Caenorhabditis elegans: one gene and its partners. The protein of the gene in region 4 purifies or fractionates together with the protein of the main gene of each other region. This does not show direct contact. Each region holds a gene or a part of one and is shown on either strand. Other genes may lie near its edges.

What was found.
Region 1: the proteins of hrg-11.3 (region 4) and copb-2 fractionate together in Caenorhabditis elegans (co-fractionation; one large-scale study listed by BioGRID). This does not show direct contact.
Region 2: the proteins of hrg-11.3 (region 4) and nspg-10 fractionate together in Caenorhabditis elegans (co-fractionation; one large-scale study listed by BioGRID). This does not show direct contact.
Region 3: the proteins of hrg-11.3 (region 4) and copa-1 fractionate together in Caenorhabditis elegans (co-fractionation; one large-scale study listed by BioGRID). This does not show direct contact.

The regions. Positions count from the first base shown.
Region 1 is NC_003282.8:9,457,299-9,465,659, forward strand, and holds copb-2 (putative coatomer subunit beta'), read left to right. Parts: upstream 1-2,432; 5' UTR 2,433-2,438; coding exon 2,439-2,600; intron 2,601-2,669; coding exon 2,670-3,158; intron 3,159-3,203; coding exon 3,204-3,337; intron 3,338-3,386; coding exon 3,387-3,619; intron 3,620-3,731; coding exon 3,732-4,047; intron 4,048-4,094; coding exon 4,095-4,446; intron 4,447-4,501; coding exon 4,502-4,743; intron 4,744-4,790; coding exon 4,791-5,628; intron 5,629-5,700; coding exon 5,701-5,841; intron 5,842-5,913; coding exon 5,914-6,009; 3' UTR 6,010-6,722; downstream 6,723-8,361. Other genes in the region: cutl-17 (PAN domain protein), read right to left, coding at 1-40; F38E11.6 (Adenylate kinase), read right to left, coding at 7,016-7,045, 7,468-7,576, 7,625-7,725, 7,773-7,874, 7,930-8,015, 8,064-8,253. UniProt on the Caenorhabditis elegans protein: The coatomer is a cytosolic protein complex that binds to dilysine motifs and reversibly associates with Golgi non-clathrin-coated vesicles, which further mediate biosynthetic protein transport from the ER, via the Golgi up to the trans Golgi network.
Region 2 is NC_003282.8:4,603,042-4,609,925, forward strand, and holds nspg-10 (uncharacterized protein), read left to right. Parts: upstream 1-2,744; 5' UTR 2,745-2,848; coding exon 2,849-2,873; intron 2,874-2,925; coding exon 2,926-3,025; intron 3,026-3,791; coding exon 3,792-3,890; intron 3,891-3,939; coding exon 3,940-4,097; intron 4,098-4,148; coding exon 4,149-4,345; intron 4,346-4,392; coding exon 4,393-4,480; intron 4,481-4,860; coding exon 4,861-4,926; intron 4,927-4,981; coding exon 4,982-5,049; 3' UTR 5,050-5,176; downstream 5,177-6,884. Other genes in the region: F19C7.4 (Serine protease K12H4.7), read left to right, coding at 66-278, 495-1,078, 1,305-1,413, 1,463-1,558, 1,603-1,714, 1,766-1,868, 1,926-2,272, 2,509-2,573; col-110 (Nematode cuticle collagen N-terminal domain-containing protein), read right to left, coding at 5,253-5,313, 5,429-6,005, 6,057-6,177, 6,462-6,617.
Region 3 is NC_003279.8:2,893,754-2,903,551, reverse strand, and holds copa-1 (Coatomer subunit alpha), read left to right. Parts: upstream 1-2,691; 5' UTR 2,692-2,750; coding exon 2,751-2,796; intron 2,797-2,848; coding exon 2,849-3,854; intron 3,855-4,700; coding exon 4,701-5,902; intron 5,903-6,430; coding exon 6,431-6,738; intron 6,739-6,791; coding exon 6,792-7,650; intron 7,651-7,712; coding exon 7,713-7,990; 3' UTR 7,991-8,223; downstream 8,224-9,798. Other genes in the region: gst-43 (maleylacetoacetate isomerase), read right to left, coding at 578-698, 752-888, 1,091-1,171, 1,218-1,397, 2,045-2,109, 2,151-2,211.
Region 4 is NC_003284.9:11,495,843-11,502,495, forward strand, and holds the start of hrg-11.3 (C-type LECtin), read right to left. Parts: upstream 4,158-6,653; 5' UTR 4,008-4,157; coding exon 3,947-4,007; intron 3,901-3,946; coding exon 3,666-3,900; intron 3,615-3,665; coding exon 3,371-3,614; intron 2,622-3,370; coding exon 2,489-2,621; intron 2,444-2,488; coding exon 2,374-2,443; intron 2,267-2,373; coding exon 2,197-2,266; intron 2,154-2,196; coding exon 2,093-2,153; intron 1,955-2,092; coding exon 1,724-1,954; intron 1,677-1,723; coding exon 1,249-1,676; intron 1,204-1,248; coding exon 1,072-1,203; intron 1,027-1,071; coding exon 748-1,026; intron 665-747; coding exon 265-664; intron 174-264; coding exon 71-173; intron 23-70; coding exon 1-22. Other genes in the region: F29G6.1 (Kazal-like domain-containing protein), read left to right, coding at 6,620-6,653.

The DNA of each region.
Region 1 (8,361 bases), on a different chromosome or scaffold from region 4:
GTATAGGAACCAGAAAACCAAGTAAAGTAATAACAAGCATCAATGTTCAAAAAGTGTGAAAAATTTTCGGAACTGAGGAAACTTGAAGTTAGCAACGTTAGCCGTTTTCTCGGAAGAAAAGGTTGAATGGGAAAGTGTCTTTCTAGTTCGTTTCAATAAATCGGTGACCTGAATATTATTGTATTGTGTGTGTAGTCGTCAATGAGAAGTATCCAGATAGAAGGCAGCTTCTTCTTCGTCATCTTCGTTGACTTCTCTTTTCACTCGATAATTGCTCGCTCGCCTGTCCGGCTAATGAACCCCTCGGAATGAAAGGTAGAAAAAGAGAGAGACTGTGCCAAATGACGAACAGTATCGAAACATGTTTCGGTAATTATATAACCGTCAAAAAGTTGAAAGAAATTCTGAATTGAGAATTTTTAAGCAAGAGAAAAATTCGTTGGGTTTTTTTTTTAATTGCATCAAGGTTGCAACTTAACACACACACAGAGAACAGAACAAGAGACTCGTTGTTCACCTCATAAGTCGTGCACAGAATTAGTAAATACAGGGTGGGCCAAAAGTATGGTAACACGTTTGCAGCTCTATAACTTCACGTGTGGAGGGAGTTATTACATCAATGTGTACAAGTTTTGTTCTCCATAAAATACTGACCAGATTAACGTTTTGAATTTTCAAAATATCCCCATCCGCATTGCTGCAGGCCTTCAGAACTTTTGAGATCACGATCTTTATGGCACGCAAGTCGGCATTCTGCGGGATTTCTACATTTTTCTCGAGGAATCCATCAAGTATCTTACAAGTTTTTATAGTTCAAAGAATGCTCTTGGTCTGGAGATTCTTTAAAAACAAAAATCCAAAAAATTTCTATCGTGGTATTTCTGTACGGACTGTGGCAGTAGTTTAGGTCTTGAATGACACAGTCGCCAGAAAGATGGATGTGAGCGGCGGCACCAGTATTCATTTTAGTACTTTTTGGCACGGTTTGACCTGAATTTTCAGAATTTTTAGAAAAAAATTAGCTCTGCTGATTTTGTGGGTCGTTACGCCTTGTGAAACCAAAAAAACTGAGTAAATTTCGGAAAGTTTAATTCATGAAATATTCAAAGGTTCTTGCTAGGCGCCAGTGTCGACACAGAAAATTTTTATATGCTACAAAAACAATCAAAAACGCTTCTTCATTTCTTTAACTTTCAATTTAACATAAAAATCATACATCTGAAAATTATTGGCGTGCGTGGGAGGTGCGTTTGTGTGGGAAGTGCCGCGTGCCAAAATGCCGTTTTAAAAAGGGTTCGCCAAATTGCCGAGGTGATTAAAATCGCACCTTATTGGGAAACATTACAAATTTTGGGTCAAATTGAAGGAAATTTATTCAGCTATCAGTATTCGATAGAAAAATGTACGTATGACGTGGCAGTCGCGCGAAAATCTCATGTAAAAGAGCGCTTCATGTGTTACCATACTTTTGGCCCACCCTGTATGAACATGGGTTCGTACCATGGAACCACAACGAAAATGACCAAAAGTTCCATATTTTTGAAGTCCCACAGAAAGCTATTTATTTTCTACCAGTTGTTGCATTACGTTTTGATTATTTGTATTTGAGCATTGTGTTGTCAATATTATAAGAATCATACCATTTCCACACACACACACACACACATTTTACATAAATAATTAGCTAAATTTATGTAAATTCTCTTGATAATTTACAAAAAGAACGAGCAAAATCGGTTATTCTTATTATTCCTGACTCGTATCGAGTACTCTTTCTACTATAATATTGCTCTTGGTTTGGACATTGTGGAGAACACAACAATAAGCAAGAAGATTGCCATAATCAGGTAAAACTAAGGCTGCAAAGGGGGCCTCTTCGATTTTAAGATATAACTGAGTTTTTTGAAAAATCTAAAACGTTTAAGGTTGTCCAGAGCAAAATTTGCATAAACATTCAACAACTTCACTATCAGTTTCAAAAAAAGTTGATTTTTCTCGTAATTTTTTTTCATTCATTTTACAACATTTCCTGAATGCAATTTTATTTATAAAATCTGCCACGAAGCAGCCACCGTTCGTAAGAGACACCTCACAAATGTGAGAAACGCAGACAAAAAAGTCAAAGGCACGCCGACTTTCCCGCTGTGGTCTCGATACGATCGGGGCTTTCTGAGTTGGCGATGGATGCGCCTCTACCTTTTGAGTGTTCTATCGTTTCGCCAACGTATCTTTTGATGAATTTTAAGATTTTCTTCTAAAAAAGATTAATTTCGGTTGATTTAAACATCTGAATTCTAAAAATCCAGAATATTATCGATTTTTGAATGTTCTTTCGGTTTTATTTTATTTCTATAAGCTGACTATTTGCAAATCTTCCTCTTCGTGCTCAGCTTAATTTTACATTGAGTTTATTTATTTTAGCTTTTTTTCAGAACAAGATGCCTCTCCGACTTGATGTAAAAAGAAAGCTTCTGGCTCGTTCGGACCGCGTGAAATGTGTCGACTTGCATCCAGTCGAAACATGGCTTCTAGCTGCTCTTTACAATGGAAATGTTCACATCTGGAATTACGAAACACAAACGCTTGTAAAGTCATTTGAAGTAAGCTTTTTTTCAAATTTATGTGCAAACTTCATGAAATTACGAAATAACTGAATCTAAATTTTGCAGGTGTGTGACGTACCAGTTCGTGCAGCGAAGTTCGTTCCAAGAAAGAGCTGGGTTGTCACGGGATCTGACGATATGCATATTAGAGTTTTCAACTACAACACATTGGAACGAGTTCATCAATTCGAAGCACATTCTGATTATCTCCGATCGCTCGTTGTTCATCCAACACTTCCCTACGTCATTTCATCATCCGACGACATGCTTGTTAAAATGTGGGATTGGGATAACAAATGGGCAATGAAACAGTCATTCGAAGGGCATACTCATTATGTCATGCAGATTGCCATCAATCCAAAAGATAATAACACTTTTGCAACTGCTTCTCTTGACAAAACTGTCAAAGTATGGCAGTTCGGATCGAATGTTCCGAATTTCACTTTGGAAGGACACGAGAAAGGAGTCAACTGTGTCGATTACTATCATGGTGGAGAGAAACCATACATTATTTCTGGAGCTGATGACCATCTGGTCAAGATTTGGGATTACCAAGTAAGTTTTTTTTCTCTTTGCATTCATCCAAAATGATATTTTCAGAATAAAACGTGTGTGCAAACGCTCGATGGACATGCGCAAAATGTGTCTTCAGTTTGTTTCCACCCAGAACTGCCATTGATAATCACAGGATCCGAAGACTCCACTGTTAGATTGTGGCATGCAAACACCTACAGGCAAGAACATTAAAGTACGATTTCCACAACAACAATTTAAAATTTTTAGACTGGAAACAACCTTGAATTATGGGTTGGAACGTGTTTGGTGCATCCAAGCTCAAAAAGGAGCCAACACTATTGCCATCGGATACGACGAAGGTTCCGTCACGTTGAAATTAGGCCGAGAAGAACCAGCAGTCAGTATGGATTCGTCTGGAAAGATTTTGTGGGCAAAGCACTCCGAAATTCAGCAAGCTAACCTGAAGACAATCTCAACTGAAGAGTCGGAAGCCATTCAAGGTTTGGAAAACTTTCATTCGACTTTTGTATAGTTCGGCACATGTTTTCTGAAAGTATTAAAAAAAGAGAAATTGTGTTCATTTATTATCACTCTAAGACAGTTCATTTACAGATGGAGAACGTCTGCCGCTTTCTGTAAAAGATCTCGGATCTTCTGAAATCTATCCACAAACCCTTGCTCATTCATCTAATGGACGTTTTGTTGTCGCTTGTGGTGACGGAGAATACATTGTTTATACTGCAATGGCTCTCAGAAACAAGGATTTCGGACAAGGACTCGAGTTTGTCTGGGCTGTTGATCCAAATATGTTTGCTGTCCGTGAATCTGCCACCAATGTGAAGATAAAGAAGAACTTCAAGGATCACAAGTCAATTCGTTCAGATATGGTACTTGAGGGAATTTCTGGTGGACCACTTCTTGCCTTGAGGTTTTTGAACTCTTATCAATTGACTTTTATTTAATTTTTTGTTTCAGATCGAACAACTCTTTGTGCTTCTTTGATTGGGAATCAGCCGTTCTTGTTCGTCGTATCGAAATTACTTCCAAGAGCATCTATTGGAGTGACAACGGAGAGATGGTCGCAATTTGTGGAGATGATTCATTCTACGTTCTCAAGTACAGTGCTGAAGCAGTTGCCAATGCAACAGAAGTGACCGAAGACGGTATTGAAGACGCGTTTGAGGTTATTGGAGAACAGGCAGAAGCTGTGAAGACGGGATTCTGGATCGGGGACTGCTTTATTTTCACCACTGCACTCAATAGAATCAACTATTATGTCGGTGGAGAAATTGTCACTATTGCTCATGTTGATAGACCACTTTATTTGGTGAGATTTTAAAACATGCGTTGTTCTTATCATTTTTAAAACTTAAATATTTTAGTTGGGATACATGGCTAAGGAATCTCGAGTCTATGCCGTCGATAAGGATCTCAACGTGATCTCATACAAACTTCTTCTATCTGTTCTTGAATATCAAACTGCTGTAATGCGCCGTGACTTCGATACTGCTGACAAGGTACTTACTACAATTCCAAAAGAGCAGAGAACTCGTGTTGCTCATTTCCTCGAAAAGCAAGGATTCAAGAAGCAGGCTCTTGCGGTCTCTCAAGACCCTGATCACAAGTAAGACAATTTTCAGCTTTTCAGCAATAATTTTGGAACGTTTTCAGATTCGATCTCTCGGTAGCTCTTGGAGATTTGAAGACTGCCTACGATTTGGCACTGCAAAGCGATTCAGAAGAGAAATGGAAGGCTCTCAGCAACGCCGCCACTCTTAAGTCGGAACTTCTTCTTGCTGGTGAATGTCTTGGAAGAGCTCGCGATTTCGGAGGTCTAATGCTTCTTGCAACGTGTGCCGGATCAGCTCCTCTTCTTCAGAAACTTGCGGATGACTCTGCTGCTGCCGAAAGCCACAATATCAGCTTCCTCAGTAGTTTGCTTCTTGGAGATATTGATGCTTGTCTAGACAAACTTATTTCGACTGGTCGCCTCCCAGAAGCAGCGTTCCTTGCTCGAACACATGCGCCGTCTCGAGTTTCATCTATTCTTGAATTGTGGAAAGCCAAGGCTTCGGGACACAGCGAAAAGAGTAGCAGAAAGATTGGAGAATCTCTTGCCGATCCAGTGAAGTATGAAAACTTGTTCCCTGGATTTACCCAATCACTGAAAGCAGAATCTTTCGTTCGTGAGATCTCCAAGATTCCAGTCCCAGCATCCGTTCGAGTGCCATCAGCTGCTACCCGGAATATTCAAGAGGAATTGGATGAAGCTGTTGCTTCGGGAGCAGTTTCTTTTACTGATGATGGCCAAGCAGTACTTAAGAATGCCCCAAGACAAACCGAGACACAATTGAAAGCTCCACCTCCTCCATCAGTTGCACGTCAACCCTCGCCTGTACGCCAGCCATCCCCTATTCGTGAGCCATCACCGATCCGCGAACCTGAACCTGAAGAAGAGGAAGAACAGGAAGAATTCGATGATGATCAGCAAGAGGTGCATGTTCCAGCTGTACGTTTTGAACAGTTTTTTATTCATATGGAATTTGACTATTCGTTGCTAGAATCACCAATTTATTTTCAGAATCAAGAAAGTGCCGATGCTCATGGAACATCTAAAACTCCTGATGTTGTTCTTGAGACAAGCCGGCCTGATATTGTCCCACCACGGGGGTCCGCCGCTCCAGATTTGGTTTCCGCGTCTTCACAACAATCTGCTCAAGATGTAAGTATTTATTTATAAATGTTTTGAAAATTATATAAACTGCGAAAATTCAATCAATTAATCCAATTACAGTTCCAAGATGATACGCAATGGTCAGATGAAGATTTTGGAGATGCTGAAAATGGAGACCTGAATATGGACGATCTAAATTTAGACGAGGAAGATTGACTGGTAGTCGATCGATCTGCCCAACAAGATCAGAAAGACTGAGTATCAGTGTTATTTTTTTGTGTATGTAATTTAAGCCCCCCCCCCCCCCCCTCCCGTCCTATCAATGTCCCCATTCCATCCGTAATTTCATGCACAATTTTTTGACGAATGATTCAGAGCAGATCGATCGATAGATAATTATTTTATTTTTCATGTTTCACCCCAAAAAGAGGTTTTTTTCTAACCCATCTGGTGTCGGTCACTCTCTAACATTCTTTGGGAAATTGTTAATTAGTATTATGGGAATGTGATAATGTTTTTCTTATCAAATAATTATGTAATTTATAGTGTTTTTGGCGCACTCGTCTTTTTTTGTGATTTTTATTTCTACTGGTCACTCCTGTCGTAAGCTCCCTTTGCCAACTATCCACCCAATTCATCCCTCCCCGTTTTCATATTTCTGCCTTCAAAATCACATAACTTATTGAATTTTTATGTTTATCGCCCTTTCTGATTTATAAGTAAACACTAAGTTATTTCCAGCTTTTTTGTGCGGTGTTTTTTGTATTCTAGGGGTTTTCTTCGAAGTTTTGTTCTATGGCTTTTTCCACTTCTACTATCATCCTCCCCAAAACTTTCGTGTTAACGAAAAAATGATGTAATGAGAGTTTTATTGATTGAAATGATTTTTTTTTCTTTTAACCGTGTTTGAATAAACGGAACAGAAAGTGTATGTGTGGCTGATCAGGAACAATTTGTAGATATTTATGTCTACACAAGTGATAATCAAAAGGCACTTCAAAAAAGGAGCAAAATGATAAGAGGCGTCGAGCCGATTTCAATACGGAAAAAGCGTATTCGGCGACAATCCGATACGATTTTTGGCACGGAATCCCATTTGACGAGGTTGAGCCGAAACTGAACGAGCTTCTCTTTCCATTGGTGGCTCTTCAGTATGTCTTGAAATTCGTTCGGAAGATTCGCTTCGCCGCTTGTTTAATGTTTCCGACTCGACGCCACCCCGTCAACTGTCTCGTGGTTGGCTTTGTTCTTTCTGAAATGATCATGATACTATAACAATATGATATAACATGTCGAAATTTTGTGAGATTTCTTTAAATAACCTAGTTTTTCAGTTCTCATAAATGTTTATTTTTGAATCTACACATTTCACATTTCCTTGATTTTTTACGATCCATCACTCATACGAAAACATGTGATTAATTTTGTCCCGCTTTCTCAAGGGGACTCCAAAAATTGTATATAATACTCAATGTATGCTCCTTTGCACGGAAATCTTTAGTAAAAGGCGAAAGATTTTCACGGTTAAATGCAGAGGAACCAGAGTTGAAGTGTTAGCTCTCCTCTTGAATTAGAATGAATACATGTGCGGACATTCTGCGGGTTTCGCCAACGGTTGTATTACCTATGGAGAAGGGACGGGACAGGCACCATAAAGTGGGAAACAATACTCACTTGTTTAAGATATAGAAGAGATATATTTTGAGCAAAACTTGTTGGAAATGGTTCAAAGAATAGAAATAATTGACGAGACGATGAAATACAATTGACTGCAATTCGAGTTCTGAAATAAAATTATAATAATTAGGGTATTGGATATCATGAGATTAACCTCATTTTCGGAGGTTTGTCGTGTTGCTTATTTTTGATAAATTCATCCAGATAAACCTCTTTCTTCTTTTCCATAAAATTAATCCGTTTGAACTTCTGCAACTTGAAATTAAAATTATTTATATATTTTTTGAAATTAAAAATGAAACCTCCGCATCTTGATTCTTGAAACTTGGAACCACTACCAAAAAGTTATCATCATGGCGGTTATGGCTTGCAATATACCGGTATACAGCTGAGATCTGAGCAGTCTAAAAAATTAAAAAAGGTTTATGGTTCAGTTGAAAATTTAATTTGGAAACTCACCAAATTGTCACTTGCTCTACCCAATTCTCCAGCATTCACTAACTTCAACTTGTAATATGTTAGATCAATGTCATCGTGTGCTGTTTCTGAAAAAAACATTATTGAGAATCATTTTAAAACAGAAATATAATTACCAGTAGTGAAACAAATAATGTGATCATCTTTCCTTGTCATTGTAAATCCAAGTTTTAATAACGTCTCTCTCGTGGTGTTTACAAGATTTGGAACGGCTTCTGCTGTTAATGACATTGATACAACTCGACTAGATTTACGAAAATATTGAAGAAATGGTTCGGCACATGTATGATATTCAGCTATTCTTTTCTGGAAATTTATATTTTGAGAAGAATTAATCACACGAGACACATAGATTAATCTGATAGTTTTTAAACTAAATGAAAATAACAGAATATTAATATTAAAACAAATTAA
Region 2 (6,884 bases), on a different chromosome or scaffold from region 4:
TACGTTGTCCCATAGTTGTCTTTTGACATACAATACCGTTAAAAAATTTCCAATTATTTTCCAGAATGTCTCGGGTCTTATGCCTCGTAGCTATCTCAATTGGGCTCACAATATGCCACGTTTCACCTCCAATGGTCGTTGGAAGGCCTCGAGAAGGTCTATTGACGGGTGATCCCGCAGAAGGACCTACTACAGATGCAAAATATATGATTTACTCGAATATTACACAGAAAGTCGACCATTTCTCAAATGGAACAAATATTGGAGTTTGGCAACAGGTGAGTCCCCCTAGGTGTATGTGAAGCGTGACTTAGAAATATTAAAGCCCCTTTGCGTACTTGAACGAATTTGTTGACTCATCAAATGTATGATTTTTGTTCTGTTATCACTTTTAATCGGACAAAAATTAATAAGAATTTACAAAAACGTTCGGTGGAAAATACCGAAAAAAATCCCAAAGAGGCGTGTCTTGTGTCAAAAAAAAACCTCTTCAGCACTACCAATACAATTGGAAATTTTACAACAAAACAACTGGATACGTCTTCCTGATGATTGGTGGTGAAAGTTCCATCAATAAAACTAATGGAGATAGATGGATCCGTCATGAAGGAGAAACCATGATGAAATGGGTGGCAGAGTTCCAAGCCGCCGCTTTTCAAGTCGAGCACAGATTTTACGGATCTAAAGAATATTCCCCAATTGGAGATCAGACAACAGCGAGCATGAAGCTTTTGACAATTGATCAGGCACTTGCTGATATTAAAGAGTTTATTACTCAAATAAATGCACTTTATTTCAAAGATGACAAACCAATTTGGGTGACATTCGGAGGATCATATCCTGGATCATTGTCTGCTTTCTTTAGAGAAACATATCCAGAAATGACTGCAGGAGCAGTATCATCTTCTTCTGCTGTTCATGTATTTGTAGATTATTATGGATATGCTATTAATACTGAAAAGACTTATAGAACTGTTAGTGACTCCTGTGGAGATGTTATCAAGGTTGCATTCCAAAAGCTTATCACTAAAGCATATAATGGATCGGATAGCCGTGCACTTCTTAAACAACAATTCAAGTGGGTTTCATAAATAAAATATGTACCTAGTTTTTGAGAAAAAATGATTTTAATTTTAATATCATTGAAATCTCTCAAAAATTTGAGATTCTTAGCTTTTGTCAGTTTTGGCAGGATTTAGTTTCTTCCAGAATTATTTTTTTCACAAAAAGGACATACCTTTTTGGGAAGTTCTGAAAATACTATCACGAGCTTAACCAATATGTCCTAAATCCAATTTTTCCAGTCTTTGTGACAGCTTCGACGAGACGAATCTATCAAAAGCCGTGCAATTTTTTTTCCAAAATGTCTATGGATACTTTCAGATAATCAATCAATATACCGGAGATAATAAGGTTCATTATGAACATCTCTTCATTACTTCAAAAAACAACACAATTTTAGAGCAATGCTACACGATCCGGATTGGGAGTTCCTGCAGCTTGTGATCTTCTAAACAACGCGACAATTGGAGATGAGGTCCAGAGAGTTATTGCTGTAGTAGGTGTACCTCTACTAGTAGTGCACCTAATTTTAACTTCCAGATGAATCTTTATGATTCCTGGTTTAAGCCATCAGCGTCTGGATGCCGACCAAATAATTACACAGCTTTTATTCAAGCCTATTCGGACACTACAATGCCCAATGAGAACGTCAGTGAGTTTCCGAGTATTGTAAAGGTACTGTAGAATCGAATTGAAATTCCAGTTGGCACTCGCAGTTGGATCTGGCAGACTTGCACGGAGCTCGGATATTATCAGACTACTGACGGAGGAAATGGTGGAATCTTTGGATCTACAGTTCCACTTGAGTAAGAACAAACAAAACGTTAAAGCCAGGTAGTACTGTATTTTGAAAATATTTTCAGTTTCTTCGCCGATCAATGCATTGATCTCTTTGGGCCGGAATACACCCTGGATAATACTTTCAAACTCGTAGATCAAGTTCGTACTAAATACGGAGGAGCTGGCACATATCGTGGAACCAATGTCGTTTTTCCAAACGGATCCTTCGATCCTTGGAATGGTCTTGGCTACAAATGGAATAACACGAATAATAATGTTGATGCTTGGTTGATCGAAGGAACATCTCATTGTGCTGATATGTATCCAGCAAGCGATTCGGATAAACAATCATTGAAAGATGCGAGAATCCGGATTCATGGTCATTTATCCAGGTGGCTATCAGATGCACAGGCTATTAGGCAGCATTCAGGTAGGTTCATTTAAGAATGCCTCTTATTCAAATGGGTCTTGCCACGAAAAAATTGTATGTTAATAAGAATTATTCAGTTAAGAAAACATTAATCAAGTTTTTTTATTGATAAAATCACAGAAATTCCCACTTTTTCCTCGCGGCAATACCTTTTTTTCAATAAATACGTGGGCCTTTAAGTACGCAGATAACTGCAAACTCAAGATACTACACTTTCAATATTTATAGTTTTTCAGGTTCCACTACAAACTTCTCAATCTTCACCGCCATCTCCATTGTAATTTTCAGCATCCTATTCTAACTTTCAAAATATTATTTTTCAAATTTTATTCTAGAAATAATAAAAGTCCAATTTTGATTACATTTGCAAAATGACGTTGTGTGAACACACCCTGAAATTGCGTTTTCACCTCGCTAATAAGATGAAAGTGGTTGGAAGGGAGGAGTGCCTAATAAAATGAGTTGGATAGTGATAGGGAGCAGGCAAATATTCGCCGACGACGGTTTGCCGTCGTTATCAATCCCCGAGACGACTTTTTCAATTTGCCAGCCCTGCGTCACCATCACCTTTTCGGCATGAAGTTTGCCATCGTTTTTGCTGGTACGTAGATTTTATCGAACAAAGGTTTAAAAATAACTTTGGAGATTTTCAGCTCTTTACGGAGCCGCTGTTGCTCAATTCGGAACTGACAACTGTGTGAGCGCACAGTTTCAGGCTTGTAATAGCAAGTTAGGAGATTTTTGGAGAACTGAGTAAGTTTTACAAACGAAATTGTGACTAATTTTTTGAAAATCATGTGGTGTCAGAGTGTCTCATTTCACCTTGATCTACGTAGATCTACAAAACATGCGGGAGAAGAGACGCAAAGTTCTCAACTTATTTCGCATGGTTGAGAACGTGCTGAGGTCGCATTTTTTGTGCAAAAAATTCCCGTTTTTTTGTAGATCAAACCGTAATGGGACAGCTTGGCACTGCGAAAAAATTGCCGGGTGGAGTCGGTGAACACATATTTTTGAAAAGTATGCAAACACCGCCGCACAATTAAAACAAAATTTACATTTTAAAGTATAATTGATAATTTAAAAATTGTATTTCTATAGAAAATTGAAATTACCATAGACCGACATTTTAAGCTTTTCTACTTACTTTTTCAAATTTTTCACACATTTTTGCATTTAACTCTATGAACAATTTTTTGCTCTTATATACATAGTTATATACATAATAATTTGATCTTAATGTTAATTTTCTCAATCTTATGATGATATTAATATTCAAATTCCAATTGAGTAAAACTTCCACATATAAAATTTGCAAATCTAATGCGATTATGTTCTGATAAGGTCAGTAGCAACAGAACACACCTAGTATAGATATCAATACCTATAATGTGATCCGAGTAGTTCTAGAAGTAGATAAACACTATTATTTTCAGTCTACAAGTATTGATTTTAAAACTAGATACCTGAAATTGACCTTTAAATTGTTTTCACCCCGTCATTCAGAACATATTTTCAGCACCACCTCTGCCTGGAAGGACTTGGCGAGCTTGGACAGAATCACCCAGTCTCTCATCGTCTCCCCATATGTCATTGACTCATGGGTCAATGTTTGCAAGTAAGCCTTTCTTTTTAAAATCTTTAACTTTTCAATTCCGAAATTCCAGCGGTTACGCTGCCTTTTACGGATGCCTTGGACAAGCTCAAATCCGCAATTGCCTCGGAACCGTCGGACTCGTCGGATCTGGACTCGATCTTAACACCGCCTACGCTTACCAAGGATTCTTGGCCGACTGGGATTTCAAGTGTGGAGCCGGATTCTGGAGTAAGCGCCATTGATCTTTTAGCAGATTTTCAAATTTCGAACATTCTTCAGCTATGTACGAGCGTAAGACCCTGACCACTTGCGTCGAGAGCACCTACGTCAACTACCAACAAGAGACATCTGCCGCTATGAATACCTACATGACTGCCACCGCTCAAGACCCAAATGGTGCTTGCAAGTATGCTCAGAATCTCATGAACGCGTGGCAGAACACCTACACCAAGGGACCATGCCGTACAGTTATGCCAGTAAGTCTTAGCAATTGCTGAGCTAGAGAGAAAAAAGCTTTGTTCAGGCTCAAGCCGGATGGTTCGGATGCCAATCGGCTCGTGAATGGTCTAATGCTCAATTCAGACACTGCAAGCATACTACACAATGTGCATGTAAGTTTGAAAAAGTTTGCCTGCCCCAAGGCGACCTAGGATGGTCTGCAAGAGGGCCTAGACCTATCAGCATTGCTACTGATTGTGAGACTTGCATGCAATTGTATTCCTATTCACAAGGTTTCCTACAAGGTCACCTATGTCTGCCTACATGATTGCCTCTTGTTTTCTACAAGAATACCTAGGTTTGCCTAAGTTTACCTAGACAAACCTACAAGGTAATCTAGGCCTATCAACACGGTGACCTAGACCAGCCTACAATTTCACCTAGGTCTACCTACAAAGTTACCTCGGCATACTTACAAAGTTGCCTAAGCACGAGGCGGCCAAGTAGGCAAAATTAAACACCTACCTACCATACAAAACTTCAATATTTCCAGCTCCAACTTCCAACGAGGCTGTGACCAGATTCAACACTGAAACCGGAAAGGTTGAATATGAGACTCGTGAGTTTTATTTTTATTTTTCAGTTTTTTTTATCCCAAGTTCCAAAATTTCTAGTCCCTACCTACCAAATCGTCGACAATAAGGCCGTCGTCCTGAATGAGGCCTCCTGGATTTCCGAGTAATTTTGATTTTTTAATTTTTGAAATAATTATAATTTTCTTTCATTCCTTTTACCTGTCTATCATGAACTTTTTTGGGTTGAATCACACATACACAATCAGTCTGATAAAGTAAACCAATAACTATTTATTGCACTTCACGTTTCACTAAAAAGCACCTTTCAAAGCAAATAAGAGAGACCGACAGAGAAATTGAGAAAAATCAGTTAAGTTCTGCGGCGGCGGGATCCGCTGTCAAAGAAGACTCCTCCGTCGATGGCACAGTACCTGGAATTTTTCGTGTAAATTTATCATTTCTGCAGGCCTAGGTAATCATGCAGGCATTCCTAGGTAACCTTGAAATCAGGTCAAGGTAATCATGTAGGCCGGCCTACCAACTTACTTTGGGCAGATCCCCTCCTCTCCCGGTCTTCCTTGAATTCCAGCTTCTCCGAGATCTCCATCATTTCCATTTTCTCCATCCACTCCATCTTTTCCTGGTGGTCCCGGTGGTCCAACTTGTCCTGGTTTACCATCTCTTCCATCATTTCCAGGTTGTCCGGCTTCTCCTGATTGTCCCTCATCTCCATCATCCCCAGGTGGTCCAACATCGGAAGTATCAACCTCCCCAGGTTCTCCATCAGCTCCGTCTTCTCCCTTTGTCCCTGGAACTCCGTCGATTCCAGTTTTTCCAGGCCTTCCCGGACGTCCATCCAGCCCATCGAATCCACGTCGCCCCTTCAATCCAGGCAATCCATTGTTACCTGGTGACCCACGGGGTCCCGGCTCTCCCGGCTCTCCAGCTGGACAGTCACATGGGCTTGCAAGTGTTGGATCACATGGACCTCTCGGTGGCTCTCCAGGATTTCCTGGTCTTCCAGGTGCTCCAGGAGCTCCGTGGCGTCCATGTCTTCCTGGGGTTCCGCTGGGGCCTGGAGCTCCAGGAATACAACAGCCATCACAGGTTCCTGTGGTTTCATCTGAACAGTTTGAGAGTTTTTAAAAAGTACAGATTCGGGGAAAAAGTAAACCTTCATCAAATCGTCTCCTGGGTTTTGCTCCTCGGATGCTTCTGGTGTGGTTCGAGGTGGCAATCAGTACGGATAGCTCGTCAACACCTTCGTAGATTGTTCTCACAACATCGTTGCATTCCTGAGATGAGAGTTTTAAGTATAGGACCCACACAACCTTTAGGGGCCTCGAGGCGTTATAGAACGAACTGTAGGTGCGTAAACTTTGCAAGAAAGGTCATCTAGGTTTGCCCAAAATCATCTAATATAGAATTTCTAACATAGAATCTGAAATTTCGAATCGCTAAGCTGAAAAGGATTCAGGATCAAGCCGTGACGAATGGGCCTCCCCGCTTGCCACTAACGGCAGCATTGATTTTTCGGAGGCGTTTTCCGGGCCAGAGAAATATAAAAAAGAAAACTCACCACAAACTGTCTTTCCAAAGAATTTCTCAACTGATTAACATAATGATAGGCTAGTGGAAGGGTTACCATTGCTCCAACCGTCAAAACCAGCGAAACAATCGCCACGGAAAAGGCGATAAATCGTTGTATCCGGAGATGAGAATATTCGGAAGACATTTTCATCGTGTTCCGTCTTTTCCTTTCCCCCTCTCTATTGAACCATTTTATACAGAACACGGACATCTCAAAAAAGTGCGAAAATCCGGCAGATATCGATCTCATTCTCTCTCTCTCTCTCCCGTTTTACCCTCATCATTTTTATTGTCTCGTGTGTTTCGGTCCTTCTTTTCCGATAATATTTTGTTGACTTTTTTGGAAAAAAATTAACGATTTTATATTGCAGAATACGTGATATTTGAGGGAATTAATTTGGAAAAAAGTTTG
Region 3 (9,798 bases), on a different chromosome or scaffold from region 4:
AAAAAACTAGAGAGGAGGGGGGGGGGGGGAGGTTTCGGGGTTACGTGAAATTTGAAAAATTGCCGGAATTGAAAATTTCCGGCAAACTGACATATTCGGAATTGAAAATTTCCGGCAAATTCGGCAAATTGCCGGAATTGAAAATTTCCGGCAAACTGGCTAATTTCCGGAATTGAAAATTTCCGGCAAATTCGGAAAATTTTCGGAATTGAAAATTTCCGGCAAATTCGGAAAATTGCCGGAATTGAAAATTTCCGGCAAATTCGGAAAATTGCCGGAATTGAAAATTTCCGGCAAATTCGGAAAATTGCCGGAATTGAAAATTTTCGGCAAATTCGGAAAATTGCCGAAATTGAAAATTTCCGGCAAATCGGCAAATTGTCAAAATTCAAAATTTCTGGCAAATTTTGGAAAATTGCCGGAATTGAAAATTTCCGGCAAACCGACAACTTATCGAAATAAAAAATTTCCGGCAAACCGGCAATTTGCTGAACGGCTATCTGAATTTCAGGCAATTTCCAAATTTTTAAATCTTAAACATATAGTCTCAATTAAAAACTTTATTCATTGTTCAATATTAGTTTTTATTTGGAGCATCTGGCTGATTATCTGGATGAGCCAATTTGAATCTAAAATCTTCCGCCAGAATCTCATTAATTCGAGTAATAGTTGGATATTTGGACATGTCGACTTTGTAGCTGGAAATTTCAAAATTTTTAATTTAAAAATTCAAAATTTTGAAATAACCTACATTTTCGCATTATAAATTATCGATGGCAAGTTGATATCAGCAATTGTAAGCTGATCTCCAACACAATATTTCCCAGAATGCTTCTTCAAAAGTTCTTCGAGAGCTAAGAATCCCTTGTTCACAAAGTGATTGCACCACTGAAATACATTTTGAACTATCGGGAAACGCCTCTTGGAACCTATTGCGGTTTGATCTACAAAAAATGCGGAAATTTTTTTCACCGATAAAATGTGACGTCAGCAGCACGTTCTAGAAGTCTGCGTCTCTTCTCCCGCATTTTTTGTAGATCTAGGTAGATCAACCCGACATGGGACACTCTGACACCACGTGAGAACCCACAAAGTCACCGTATCCCGGCTCCTTTTCATTGAGCATTTTGTGGATATTGATTGCTTGAAGTGGCTGAATACTTGCGACTATCTGAAAAGAGCTCGCTTAGAGTTGTTAAAGAATGTTAAAAGCTCACATGAAGTGCGATAGCTCTTGAATACGATCTCTTATCCAATTCTTTTGGAAGGAACGGAGGATCCGGATAGGCTTCATCCAAATATTCGATTATTGCCAAGCTTTCTGTCAGTGATAAGCCATTTATCACTAAAGTTGGAACTTTTTTCGCTGGGTTGTGCTTGACGAACTCTGCATTGTTCTGAAATACAGCTATATTTCTATGGAAGTGGGAGTAGGGCAGGGGTGGATGGCAAATTGCCGGTTTGCCGGAAATTTTCAATTCCGGCAATTTACCGATTTACCGTTTGCCGAATTTTACCGATTAAAATTGAAATTCTGAAATTTCCAGAAAAAAATGTGCAAAACCACAAGTTGCCGAAAGTTTTCGGCAAATTGTGTTTTTCCGGCAAATCAGCGATTTGCCGTTCTGCCGAATTTTGCCAGAAATTTTCAATTCCGGCAATTTTCCAATTTACCGGAAATTTTCAATTCTAGCAATTTGCTGGAAATTTCAATTCAGGCAATATGCCGAATTTGCCGAAAATTTTCAATTCCGGCAATTTTCCAATTTGCCCGAAAATTTTGATTTTCATTAAATTTTCGATTTGCCGGAAATTGTAATTTTGGGCAAATTGCCGATTTACCGTTGCCAAAAGTTTTCGACAAATTGTGGTTTTTTCCGGCAAATCGGCAATTTGCCGCTAGGCCGAATTTTGCCGGAAATTTAAATTTCGGCACTTTGCCGATTTGCCGAAAATTTTCAATCCCGGCAATTTGCCGCTCTGGCGAATTTTGCCGGAAATTTTCAATTCCGGCAATTTTCCAATTTGCCGGAAATTTTCTAACCTTGGATTCTTCAGAAAATAAGTCGATTGGCCGGTATTCGTAGTCGATATTTTTCAGAGCAAGTGCTATAAATCAGTATTTTATAGAATTTCCAAGCTAAAATTACCGATGCGAACTCTCCAGGCACACGACGAACGCCAATATGAATATAAAATCGGTTTTGCCATGGAGTTAGAAGCTTCTAAAGAAGAAAATTGAAATATTTAAGCAATAAATGACATTTTGAGAAGAAATTAAATATGAACACGTGGGAAAAATCTTCAAAAACCCTAATTTTTCAGTTAAAAACTACTTTCTCCGAATAAAACCTCCATTTTCCTCAATTTTCAGCACTTTTTTATGTCAATTCCCACTTAAAATTCCCCTTTAACGGTCATTTTTCCTAAACTGTGCAGTTTCGCGTCGCCGTGTTTGCACACATTCCGTTTGATGCGCAGGTTTCCACGTTGTCCTCTTTTCTCCATTTTCTGTCTCTTTTAACGTGGATTTACCGATTTTTATCTCTGAAATTCTTAATTTTTATGGTATTTTTCGTAGTTTCTTTATCAATTTAATCGAAATTCCAAGTTTTTTCATTGATTTTTTGCATTTTTGTCTGTTTTTTTTAAACATTCTTATATATCCACGTGTCATTTCCATAATTTCAGAACCTTCATTCACGCCGAGGAGCAGTTTTTGACTGGTTACCGACTATAAATCGGATATCATGTCGCTCCTTATCAAATTTGAATCAAAATCCGCTAGGGTTAAAGGTAAATATTTTGGTTTTTGGCATTATTTTTCAATAATTTCCCAATTTTCCAGGAATTTCGTTCCACCCAACTCGGCCATGGGTGCTCACATCGCTGCACAGTGGAGTCATTCAACTCTGGGACTACCGAATGTGCGTTCTTCTCGAGAAGTTCGACGAGCACGATGGTCCAGTGAGAGGAATTTGCTTCCATCATGATCAGCCGATCTTTGTGTCTGGAGGAGATGATTATAAGATTAAAGTGTGGAATTACAAGCAGAAACGCTGTATTTTCACACTTCTCGGACATTTGGATTATATTCGTACCACTTTCTTCCATCATAAGTATCCATGGATCATTTCTGCGTCCGACGATCAAACGGTTCGGATTTGGAATTGGCAGAGCCGAAACTCGATCGCCATCCTCACCGGACACAATCACTACGTCATGTGTGCTCAATTCCACCCAACCGAAGATCTTGTGGCTTCTGCCTCCTTGGATCAGACCGTCCGTGTTTGGGATATTTCTGGACTTCGGAAGAAGCAAATGCCTGGTGGAGGTGCTCCAAGCCGGCCAACCGGAGGGCAACAAGCTGAGCTATTCGGGCAACCTGATGCAGTTGTGAAGCATGTGCTAGAGGGACACGATCGTGGAGTCAACTGGGTTGCATTCCATCATACCAATCCAATTCTAGTCTCGGGATCCGATGATCGTCAAGTCAAGATTTGGCGTTACAATGAGACGAAAGCCTGGGAGCTCGACTCGTGCCGTGGACACTACAATAACGTCTCATCTGTGATCTTCCATCCAAATGCTGACTTGATTCTTTCCAACTCGGAGGATAAGTCGATTCGTGTGTGGGATATGCAGAAGCGTACCAGTCTTCACGTTTTCCGACATGAAAATGAGCGTTTCTGGGTTTTGGCCGCCCATCCAAGCTTGAACATGTTCGCCGCAGGACATGACAATGGAATGGTCGTTTTTAAAATTCAAAGAGAACGCCCGGCTTATTGTGTCAGTGATAATTTGGTTTTCTATGTGAAGGGACAACAAATTCGCAAGCTCGATTTGACAACCAAGTGAGTAGTTTGATGCCAAGAAAAGTGTGCCGCAAAATGCATTTTTGCACAGAATTAGCGTTTTTTTTTTGCGAAAAAAAGCGTGCGAGAGTTGCGAAAATGCATTTTCCGGCGCACTGAATCATGTTTTTGTGGAGTCTCAGTAGTTTTTAAATGAAAAACTTTAAATGTGCCCCATTAAGCGAATTTCGTATTTAGAGCCTCCAAAAAATCGGAAAAAAGGCGTAATTTCAATAGCTAAATTCTCCAACTTCCACTGAAAATAGCAGAGTTTTTTTTGAGATTTATCAAATTTTTAGCTTTTCAAAAAATGTTTTCTGCTTTTTACGAACAAATCTTTTGTTAAACAATGAAAATCGAATTTAAAATGACTAAAATTAACTTTTTCCGTCCACTGGTTGTGAAATGGGTTGAAATTGAAGAAATCAACGGGATTTTTCTGATTTTCTGAATATTTTTCTATTAGAAATCGGTTTTAAACCATTTTTTTTTACTAAAACCGATTTTTAATAGGAGAATATTTAGAAAATGAGAAAAATCCCGTTGATTTCTTCAATTTCAACCCATTTCACAACCAGTGGACGAAAAAAGTTAATTTTAGTCATTTTAAATTCGATTTTCACTGTTTAACAGAAGGTTTGTTCGTAAAATGCAGGAAAAAAATTTTTAAAGCTAAAAATTTGATAAATCTAAAAAATCTGTTATTTTCAGTACGAAGTTGGAGATCTTAGCTAAATTTAGAGCTTTTCTCCGGAAATTTTGAGGACTCTCACTACAAAATTCGTTATTTTTTGTACATTCAGAGGGGATGTACAAGCAAAAACCCCTCTAAAATCAAATTTTCAGCAAGGATGTTGCTCTGTGCAAGCTCCGTTACCCACAACCATTCATGCAACCATACTACTCTCTTTCCTTCAATCCTGCCGAGGGAACCTTCCTTCTCACAAGCCGTACTCACAATAAGGATCTATGCGCCTTTGAGCTGTACAAAGTTGCCAGTAACTCTGATGGAACCACTGAAGCTGCGTGCGTCAAGAGCACCGGAATCAATGCACTTTGGGTTGCTCGTAATCGTTTTGCAGTTCTTGACAAGGCTCAGAATGTGTCGTTGCGTGATTTGACGAACAAGGAACTTCGCAAACTCGAGAATATCAACACGGCTGTCGACGATATTTTCTATGCCGGAACTGGAATGCTCCTTTTGAGAAATGATGATGGGCTTCAACTGTTTGATGTTCAGCAAAAGATTGTGACTGCTTCAGTGAAAGTGTCGAAAGTTCGTTATGTGATTTGGAGCAAGTCTATGGAATTCGCAGCTCTTCTTTCAAAGCACACGCTGACCTTGGTCAACCGTAAATTGGAGATTCTGTGTACCCAACAGGAGTCGACTCGTGTGAAGAGTGGAGCTTGGGATGATGACTCGGTATTCCTCTACACCACTAGCAATCACATCAAATATGCAATCAATTCTGGAGATTGTGGAATCGTTCGTACTCTGGATCTTCCTCTGTACATTCTGGCTATTCGAGGAAACGTGCTCTACTGCTTGAATCGTGACGCTACACCAGTTGAAGTTCCAATTGATAATTCTGATTACAAGTTTAAGCTTGCTTTGATTAACAAACGAATCGATGAAGTTGTCAACATGGTTCGATCCGCAAATCTCGTCGGTCAATCCATCATTGGATATCTCGAGAAAAAGGGTTACCCAGAGATTGCTCTTCACTTTGTCAAGGATGAGAAGACTCGCTTCGGGTTGGCAATTGAATGTGGAAACCTGGAAATCGCGTTGGAAGCCGCCAAGAAGCTCGACGAGCCAGCAGTCTGGGAGGCTCTCGGAGAGACTGCTCTTCTTCAAGGCAATCATCAAATTGTTGAGATGAGCTATCAACGAACGAAAAACTTTGAGAAGCTCTCGTTTTTGTATTTTGTTACTGGAAATACGGATAAGCTTGTCAAGATGATGAAGATTGCACAGGCTAGAAATGATGCTCACGGACATTTCCAGACAGCTCTCTACACTGGTGATGTTGAGGAGAGAGTTAAAGGTAAAAATGTGCAGCTGGATTTCAGAAGGGGGCAAAAGTCAAAGTTTTATTGATTTTTAGCTCCTCTTTGCGTATTTTTTTCGTGAATTTCTGCAAATTCTAGACGATTTTGAAATTATTGAACCTAAAAATGGTCCAAATCTACCGAATATCGTCATGAGATTTCTCAAAAAAAAATTTGGAAATCTACCAATTTTCAGCTAAAATCTCATATTTTGCCAACTTTTCAGTTTCGCAGCTGACGGAACTTGATTTTTATTCAATTATCGCTATTTAATACGTATTTTGGTCGTTTTAACGAATAAAAGTGTGATAGACGACCAAAATATGTATTAAAAAGTAATAATCAATGACACACTAAAGTTGGCAAAATTTGAGATTTTAGCTGAAAATAGGTTTTTTTCCAAATCTCAAAACCGCCATAACTTTTTTTGTGAGTTTTCAGAAACTTTTCAGGATTTTTCATGACGAAATTCGTTACTTTTTGGGTCATTTTCAACAAAATAAAGTATAAAGTTAATTTTTCAGTGCTCCGAAACTGTGGACAAACTTCTCTGGCCTACCTCGCCGCAGCCACTCATGGATATTCTGCTGAAGCTGAGGAGTTGAAGGCTGAACTCGAGAGTCGTCAGCAACCAATCCCACCAGTTGATCCAAATGCTCGCCTCCTTGTCCCACCACCACCAGTTGCTCGTTTAGAAGAGAATTGGCCACTTCTTGCCTCGGCTCGAGGAACTTTCGATGCACAGCTTCTTGGATTAGGAGGACAATCTGCTCCAACTAATGTTGGCGGTGTGAAGCCTGCTGCTGCTGCCTTTGCTGTTATGGATGATGATGTTAGTTTATTGATTTCTGAGCTATCTGAGCTATAAAATATTAATTTTTGCAGGATGGTGATGTTGGAAATGAAGCATGGGGAGATGATGAGTATCTTGTCGGAGAAGATGGTGAACTTGATGTTGATGAAGGAGAAGGACCAGTTGATGGAGATGAGGAAGGTGGATGGGATGTGGATGATGATCTGGCTCTTCCTGATGTTACCGATGATCAAGGTGGAGATGATGATGAGGAAGTGGTTCCTAACCCAGCTCCAGCTGTCTCATCGGAATGGCCGAATGTTTCTCGTCTTGCTGCTGATCATGTTGCAGCTGGTTCATTCGGAACTGCCATCAAGCTTCTTCATGATACAATTGGAGTCGTTGAAGCAGCACCATTCAAGGATGTATTCGTGAAGGCTTATGCAGCTTCTAGACTCTCACATCGTGGATGGGGAGGACTCGGACCAGCTGGACCAGTGTCCATTCATCCGGTTCGTAATTTCCAGGAGGATAAGAATCATCTTCCAGTCGCTGCGTTCAAACTTTCTCAACTTGCAAAGAAACTGCAAAAGGCTTATCAAATGACGACGAATGGAAAGTTTGGAGATGCTGTCGAGAAACTGCGGGAGATTCTTCTATCTGTTCCACTGATCGTTGTGTCTTCGAAACAAGAAGTCGCCGAAGCGGAGCAGCTCATCACAATCACACGGGAATATCTTGCAGCACTTCTCCTTGAAACTTATCGAAAAGATTTGCCAAAAACGAATTTGGAGGATGCGAAACGCAACGCCGAACTAGCTGCCTACTTTACACACTTTGAGCTTCAACCAATGCATCGTATCCTGACACTGAGATCTGCTATCAATACTTTCTTCAAAATGAAGCAAATGAAGACTTGTGCATCACTTTGCAAACGTCTATTGGAGCTCGGTACGTGCTTGCGTTGTTGATTTTTTTAAATTTTATTTCTAATTCTTAATTTTTTTTTCCAGCTCCAAAACCAGAAGTTGCTGCTCAAATCCGAAAAGTGCTGACTGCCGCCGAGAAGGATAACACTGACGCGCATCAGTTGACCTATGATGAGCATAATCCATTCGTCGTGTGCTCTCGTCAATTTGTGCCTCTTTACCGTGGACGTCCACTCTGTAAATGCCCGTATTGTGGAGCATCGTACTCTGAAGGGCTCGAGGGAGAAGTGTGCAACGTGTGCCAGGTTGCAGAAGTTGGAAAGAATGTTCTTGGGCTCCGAATCTCAACTCTGAAGAGCTAAAAGTTGTGAAATATGATAATTTTTTCGTTTTTTGTGTGATATTAATTATTGTAATTTATTTGCCTTGTTCTTCCACAATTCCCATTGCTTTTGGTCCCTTCATATTATTTTCCCGTTGGGCGGCGGTTCATGTTTTCTATTTAAATTATGTGTTTTTAAAAATTATTTAAACCCCACAGAAAGATTATGATTGCATGCTGGTCTATTTTATTTGAATAAATCATGATTTTTTTACTTTTTTTCATTTATCTTTGGGGTAAGAAAATGTTCTCTAAATCAGTAATTTACATGGAGAAATTTGCTCGAAAAAATTCAAAAAAAATACAGTAAGAAAATTGTCGTAAAGTCTAGGGTTTTGGTATTGCGGACTACGACAAAATGCACACAAACCATTTTGGCACCGGAAAAAGGCAAAAGCCAGGATTTTATCGCGTTTTGGCTCATTTTTCTTGCAAATTTCCATGGAATTCAGTTAACATATACCTAATTATTCAGTTATTTCGAATTAATCAATAATTTTCAGTGAATTTCGCAATTTCTAAGTGGTCCAATGATGTCTGTCCACATATTTCCTTGAAAACTGATTGTTTTATCGGAATTTATTGATTTAAAATAATATATATAATAAAATCTGAATTTTAGAATCATTTTTGACGTGGAAAAGACCCGAAAAATCCAAAAATCACGAATAAACTGAACAATTAAGGTATTAATTTTTGATCCCCCACCCCCAGTTTCTCAGTTTCTCAGCAAAGGATTAAAACAATTGTTCTTCTTCTTTTCCCCCTACAAGAATTTCCTGTGAATTTCAATCGTAAAAATATCGATTTTCTGTTTATTCTTTGGATGAGTCACCGCACTCGCCGATTGTTTAACTAGTGCAGTTCGGCAGTTTTACGTTATTTTTTCACGATTTTTTGGATTCTGATCCTCTAGGTGACTTGAAAATACCGAATTTCATATCGTAATATGACAGAAAAATTTATGGCGGTAAAAAAATGCGGAAAAATTTTCTAATTTTAACGGAAAACTCCAAAAAGCCGTTGGAAAATGATTTTTATTTGATATTGGCATATTTAAATAATTTTTATCCTGTTTTTTAGTGGATTTGGATATTTTAACCCGATAGTTATGTATAACGGCTTAAAAATTGCCAAAATCAGCGAAAAAACGCGAGAAAAATCACTTAAATATGGAAAATAGAACAATAATCAAATAAACCCGATTATCCAAGCCAAAACTGAGTTTTTTTTTTCGCATTTTTGAACTTCAAAATTTCGAAAAAATGGGCTATTTTTAACGAAAATCCCCAATTTTGCAATTTTTTCGTGTCACAGCCGTCGGAAATTGATTTTTATTTGATTTTTGACACATTTGAGTGATTTTATCCTTTTTTTTTCGTGGATTTAGGTACTTTTAGCCGATAGTTACGTATTGCTAAAATACTGGCTTAATAAGTAGCTAAATCGACGAAAAAATATGTTTTAAAAAACCAAAAATGGCAAAATTTTACGATTTTTGCTAAATCTTTTTTTTTTTTGAAATTTTAAATCGTCATAAAATTATTTAGCTAAATTTTTGTTAAACATTTCAGCGAAAAACTCCATTTTTGCCAATTTTTTGTGTCACAGCGGTTGAAAATTGCGTTAATTTAGGTATATTTGAAGCCAAAAAAGGAACAAAATTAATTTATTTGCAAAATTATCAATTTCCGGCTTAAAAACGCTCCAAGATTGGAGATTTCAGCGGAAATTAGCCCATTTTTTCGAATTTCTAAACCGCTAGACTGAAATTCCGTCTTTTTCTCC
Region 4 (6,653 bases):
TACGCATTGAATATTTGTGCAACTAAATTGATATATGAACGTCAATCAAGTTTATGTTATTTTCACTTACTATTGTCCGTAAAAACCTGGTGGACAGATGCAAGTAGCGTTATTTGTTGGATCGGTCACTCCGCCGTTCTGACAAGAGTTTGGTGGATACGGTGTCGTTGGCGCTGAAATATGTACACGTTTCTTACTCAGTTTCCGACAAAAAAGTTAGCTATTGCGCCAAAAAAGTGATAAATACAATTTTTGAAGGCTTACTTCCAGAGCAGAAACCAGTGGTAGTTCTTTGGATGGTGAATCCCTTTCCATCGTCAGCATAGACAGTAGCATAGAATGGTTGAGACATGAAATCACAGAAGTCGGCAGCTCCAAAATACATATGGAAACCACATCCGTCTCTGTATTTTCCACTGGAGTAGTACATTGGTTTTTGGTATTTGTTGTCCACATTTACATTAGATGTAATGGAAATTTCAGAGAAAAGACGGAATGGATCGGCTACTTTGCCCTTAAGTCCTGTTAGTTGAGCAACAATGTGAGAAGATTGTCCGACGACTGGTTCCGAGTCACTAGCATCATCATTGACTCCGACGCTAGTTCCAATGAAAAGATCATATTCTGAGCGGGCTTGAACACGGTACGAGCACGGAGTATTTTGCTGCAAACAAAAACATTTCAATTCTTTCAGTTAAGCTATGTAGTGAGCAAAAAAACTGAATTATTCATTTCAATAGTACTTACCACATTTGACACAACTGTGACCAAGTGCTCACCAACAACGGGGTTTGAAATCTCATACAGTTGAGTAGTTCCACTGTCGACAATCTTCAGAAGAGTATTGGTATTTCCATTTGGATCTGTGACAGAAACTGTTAACTGTTGTCCGACAGCGAGAATCATGAGCTCAGTGGTTGAAGTGTCAACGAAGAAAACTCTCGTTGGAGTGGCGCAGCTAGCAAGATCGTCAATAAGTACCGAGTTCATTTTGTAGGCTGTTGCTTTGATCACGTATTGGAAAATCTGAACAAGCAAAATATGGTGTTGTAGGATAAATTGTAAACTAACTTGTTGCAAAGAGTCAACAGATGGTCTCAGGATAAGTCCTCCACTGTAGTAAGAAGCGTATTCGATGGCTTGGAAACCTTGGCTCATTTCATCAAATGCACAATTAGATTGAACAAAGTAGTGAGTGTATATCTGAAATTGCAACTTCTACTTATGTTAACATCAGTTATGTAGTACCGGGAACTTCATGCGAGTGTTTTGCTCAATGACGGTTTGCCATTTCTCGACATCACTAGCAGTTGCGTCAGTGAACAAATAGACTGGAGATTTTTGATAGAGAGCGACTTCGTTAAAAATAGAGCCGATCGCATCAAAAGTAGCATCCGAACATTGTCCAACAGCAGTTGAAGCTTGATTGATGGCAGCCAGGAAAGCATTTTGGTCAAATGCTGGGTAGTAGGTGTTGGTGTAAGCACCGTTTGCAAATTTAACAATGACAAATCCTTTGTATACTTCGTAGTTGTTGCCGTCGTTACTTGTTAGTTCTTTGTAGATAGCACTGGAGATCGCATTTAGGTTTTGATTCATCGAAACGGTGCTTCGAATGATAACAACCAATGTCTTGTAGTTGGTAAGATATTGTTCCCAGTTCAGTGGACAGGTAACTTGAAAGATATATTTAATATATAAATATAACTGAAACTTAACATACCATCTTGACAGTTTGTTCCATGGTATCCAGCAGCACATTCGCATAGATTACCGTCTGGATCTGGGAATCCGGCGTTCATACAGTTAACTTTTTCACATTGTTTTCCATTAAACAGCTCAGAGCAGAAGCATGTTTGGCCTTGGTTAGCAACATTGAGGAGTGTTCCATTGTTGAAACAAGTTGTCACCGGAGCTTGGGTCGTTGTTGGAGGAGCTGGTGATGTGAGAAGTTCTGAAAAAAGACTGATTGCAATTTGTAGTTAACAGTTATGAAACTAATAATTCTTGAACGCCTGAGCTCAATAAACTCATGACACTTTCAGCTTATAGAAAACTAATCATTCAAATAACAAAAGCGTTGTTGACTTACGCATGCATGAGAATCTTCCGGTTCTTCTGAAGTTAAATCCGTTGGCGTCAACTCCATCAATCTGAAAGAAAACATTAAACATTTTAATTTGAACTTCGTAGTACATGATAGAAGTAGGCATTTCCAAGTTGACATTGCCACTGTCCTGCATAGTATTCATACCCGCACTGATACCTGAAAAAATGAATGGGGAAAGTGATTTGCTTTTATAGGGGTGTTAATGTTTTCAGGAGATAAATCAAGTCTAAATGCTAATTATTTCCACAAATACAGTTCCCTACCTTCTTGTGAGAGCTGCTCTGTAGACTGGAGCCAAAGAATTGCCTTGGCGAATGGTGATAGATTGAACTTCTGCAATATAAAGATTTTGTTTTATATTTAAAAAACGAAACTAACGAGCTGGTGAATTGTCAACGTGAGCGGCCATATACATCGGAACACCGTTGATTGCAGATTCACCATATGGAGGGTCGTCTGACTGTGGAGAATACACAAATCCATCCACAGCTTTCAATCCGCTGGGGTCACCCTAAAACTGACTTCATGTGCTTTTGTATTGAAATTTATATGGAAATTACTTAAAATTGAAAACTATAAATTAAATATGCTTTATATAATGCTTTATATGTTGGAACTCTCGCAGTTTTTATAAATAAATGGCTGCTGGCACAAAATTTATAATTGCAAAATTAAAAATTGGTTGTTGGTTAATCAAAGATGGTTAATCAGAGATAAAAAACCTTTGTTTTATTTTATTTTTATAAAAACGTTTTTTTTTGCTAGGAAAACTACATTTCATAAAATAATCTGAATAATGACATTCCTTATCAATGTCTGAACTTTTGAAAACTTCCCGGTGCACTTGAAGCAAAATATAAGTTAGTATGTATGACATATACAATTCATTTGGGCAGTATGGAACATCGTTGTTTTAAATATAATTTGTTCTTAATTTTAGTAGACAATTCCAGGTTTTAAGAATTTCAGAAATTATGTAACTTTAGGTAAGGTTCTTTTGATGAATTCACTATATTATTCATTGATTTGATCTTTAATAACGACATGGTATACAGTATTTTTATAACGCGCCATTTTATTTCCAATTCCACGTTTTAATTCATTTTTAGCGCGCCCATTTTGATATGCCGAACTCGTAAAAATGTAGGGAGGCAACTCATGGTTATCAGTTTTTCATCTTGTTACGATGGCAAATGTTGAACATTTTGAATGAAAATGTGCGAAATGTAACTAGAAGGCAGACTACAAAATCTCACTTACATTAACTTCAATGATGCATTCGCTTGTTGGAACACCCTGGTTATCAATGGACAAGGTATATCCACCAGATGGAAGATCGGCGTAGACATTCAGAGAATAGCTATCGTCGGCTACGGAGTAAGATGGAGAAAATACAACTCCCTTTGCATCGGTCATATTCACATATGGAATTCCAGCAGCCGAAACATGGATTTGAATGGTTTGGGTAGGCTTGTTGCCTGTTGAATCGACAGGGATGTAAAATCTTGAAAAAAGAAAATCGTTTTGAAGCAACTAAATTAAAACTCATGCTTACGGTCCACCACAGCTTCCTTGGATAAACATAATCTCAATACTGGAAGTCTGTCCAGATGTTGGTGCAGGTTTTGGATCAGTACAGATTGGGTTTTTGCATCCATCACCAGTCCATCCATTTTCGCATTGGTTGGCAATTCCAAGAACGGCAAAAATCGCACGTTTTGCTCGAATATGGAAAGCATCAGTATTTGTTAGTTCGGGATAATAATTTGGTAGGTGATGAAATACGGAATCTGAAAAAAAAAGTTGTTTTTGTAAAATAGATTTAGTTTGAGTTACCAAGATTTGGAGCAGCTGCAACTGCTGTTACTAATAAAAATAAAGCCAGTAGGAGCCGCATCGTGTGCAGTGGCGACTCGAGCAGCAGCGGACTGAAACTGGAAGGGCTTGTCTTGCCCTATCGCATATGTAAGACCGTGAAAATTTTTTATTGTTTGATAAGCCAATTTTGCTATTTGCCCCGACGTTTTGCCGACTGCCACATTTTTGCCTTCAAGAACTAATATGGTTATCAAGTGATTGCACATGGCACCACGACGACAGGCGTGTATAACGATGGTTTTTTGATAATTCTGAATATTATTCGAATGAATAAAGATTATGAGCAAAAGTAAACGTGGGAATTTACTTCACCTTTAGATATTATTGCTCAAAGCAACATTTACAACAATGAAATGAATGAAAATATTTGGCTTAAAACATTAAGTCTGTTTGGAAATAACAACAGTGTAGTTCGGTCTACTGGCTTTACGTTTTACTTTGAATTAGACTATTATCATTGTTGGGAATGTTTACTTGTTGCTTGTGATTTTAAAAACGGTTCAGTTTTCAAGTAATCAGATCGATCTCGGAAACCCTGAAATGCAGATTTGTCATGGATATGTATCAAAACGAATGCTATGTGGTTAATATGTTGTACTAATTCGGTTAATATATAAACTTGGTTGTAATAATTCTAAACGCTCTTCGTGCATACTTAGATGATTTTTTGAGATCGTAGCATTTTAATTGACTTTTGAACAGATTGTAGTTGTTTTTTTATAAATTTCAAAAATTTTGTAGAAAGTATTAAATAGTGTAGGGCAGAGAAAGAATGTTATGAAAAAGATTGTTTTATATTTCTTTGTGTTTTATACTAAAATTTGCATAATCACAGTGTTCCTCGATATGTTTGTGCAATTATGATAGTTCGCTTTTGATCGCATACCGACTCGTTGGAAATATGTAGTTTCCTGATATGATTCAATTTCTTATCAGACCTATCAATTTAAAATTGCCAACAAATTAATTTACGTAAGGAGTACACACCCAAAATGGAACTCAAGTCAAATTTTGTAGCAATGTTTTGAAACAATTTTGTAAAAAAATGCTTATTAGAAACATTGTCTAAAAATATTTAAAAATTATTTGGCTAAAACTAAATATTTTCCGCTCAGGCCGACTAACATCAACCGCACCATGGAAAGAATCAAATATCTTTGTTTATAAGATATAATTTGTGTACCTTCAACTACATATGAACACACCCATGTTCGAAAATGATTACATTACTGCTGGCACTAAATATCTGCAAATGCAATTTTTCAATTATTTCTGAATCAGTAATAGTGATTTCATCAGGTCAAGTGAGTGTCGTCTGTGAAACTATTGAGATGAGTAAAAGAAAATTTAAATCTTACTATGATAACGAGGATTATGTTCCGGAACTCAATGAACTTAACTTAACTGAACGTTAATGAACTGTTTTGAAGATTGCACTTAAACTGTACTGAATACAGTTGCTCGTTTCTTTAAACTAATCTTCCGATTAAAATAGTTTTGAACTCTTGAATAACATACCGTATTTCCTCTATTAGTCTTGCATGCGAAAATAATTTTCAATCGTCACATAGGGGTGCAAGACTAATAGAGGAAATACGGTAATAGCGTAACAAGCATAACAAATGATTGAAAAATTGGATTTTTGGCTAAAACTACTCCTGTAGAGCCGAAAGTATCGAATATCGTACTAAAACTGGTCAAATCATTTTGAAATGTTTATATTAACAGACAAAAACGACAAAGAATGAGTTTGTACCAACCTTTGTAAAAAGAAAAGCACAGTCCCCCACAGTGTTTAAACATAAATGGTTTAGAAATGTGAACAAAATCATTTCCAATTGTTTTTTCCACATTTTTAAAATATTTTCAGTCAAAAACGTGTTTGCGTCGCTTTTCGACTACAAAAAAACAATGTTTTAAACGCTTTTGAGAACTTTTACTATAATATTTTCTAATTTTAACACCATTGTAGTAAGCTTCGATAACTTCTCTACTGACGCTACTTCACCTTAGTTGAGCCCAAAAGTACCTATGCTTCCAATAAAGCATAGCAATGCTGATATCATAGTGATTATCAGTTTTTGATTTTCTGAACAACTTTGCAAAGCTTGTTGAGACCACACATAATATTTTTACACATTTACAATGGGCATCAAGTTGTTTCATTAAATTCGCATCGTTATCACACTTACACCGCAACGGAAGCTGATATGGATCTGTAGCAAGTTCAACTAACAAATTATCATCTTAAGTGTCACTTTTCAAAATTTCCGTAGCTAGTGTAATCCCATCGAATCAGCTGTTCGATCTTTCAATTAAAGCTCGTTGCTATCCTTTCCCTTTTACGCACCCGTCAACCTCTCATTTTCTCGACGTAAGACCAAAAAAAAATGATGGGAGGAGTTACTGACGATGAGTAAAGAGAACTTGCCTTTTCGCAAGTTGACGGCCTCCAGTGACGGCGCCCGCATTTGACGTTACCCCTTGTTTGCAAAGTCTACGGAATCCTTCCGTGTCTTAAGAAGTACTTCCATACGGTTTCACACATCTGTTTTTGTGATTTATCCCATTGGGTTCTTAATCACTGATCATCTCCCTCAATCGTCTTCATGTGGAACACCGCCAACCAGCATGCTTATCCGTAGAAACGTGTTTCTTTCTATCT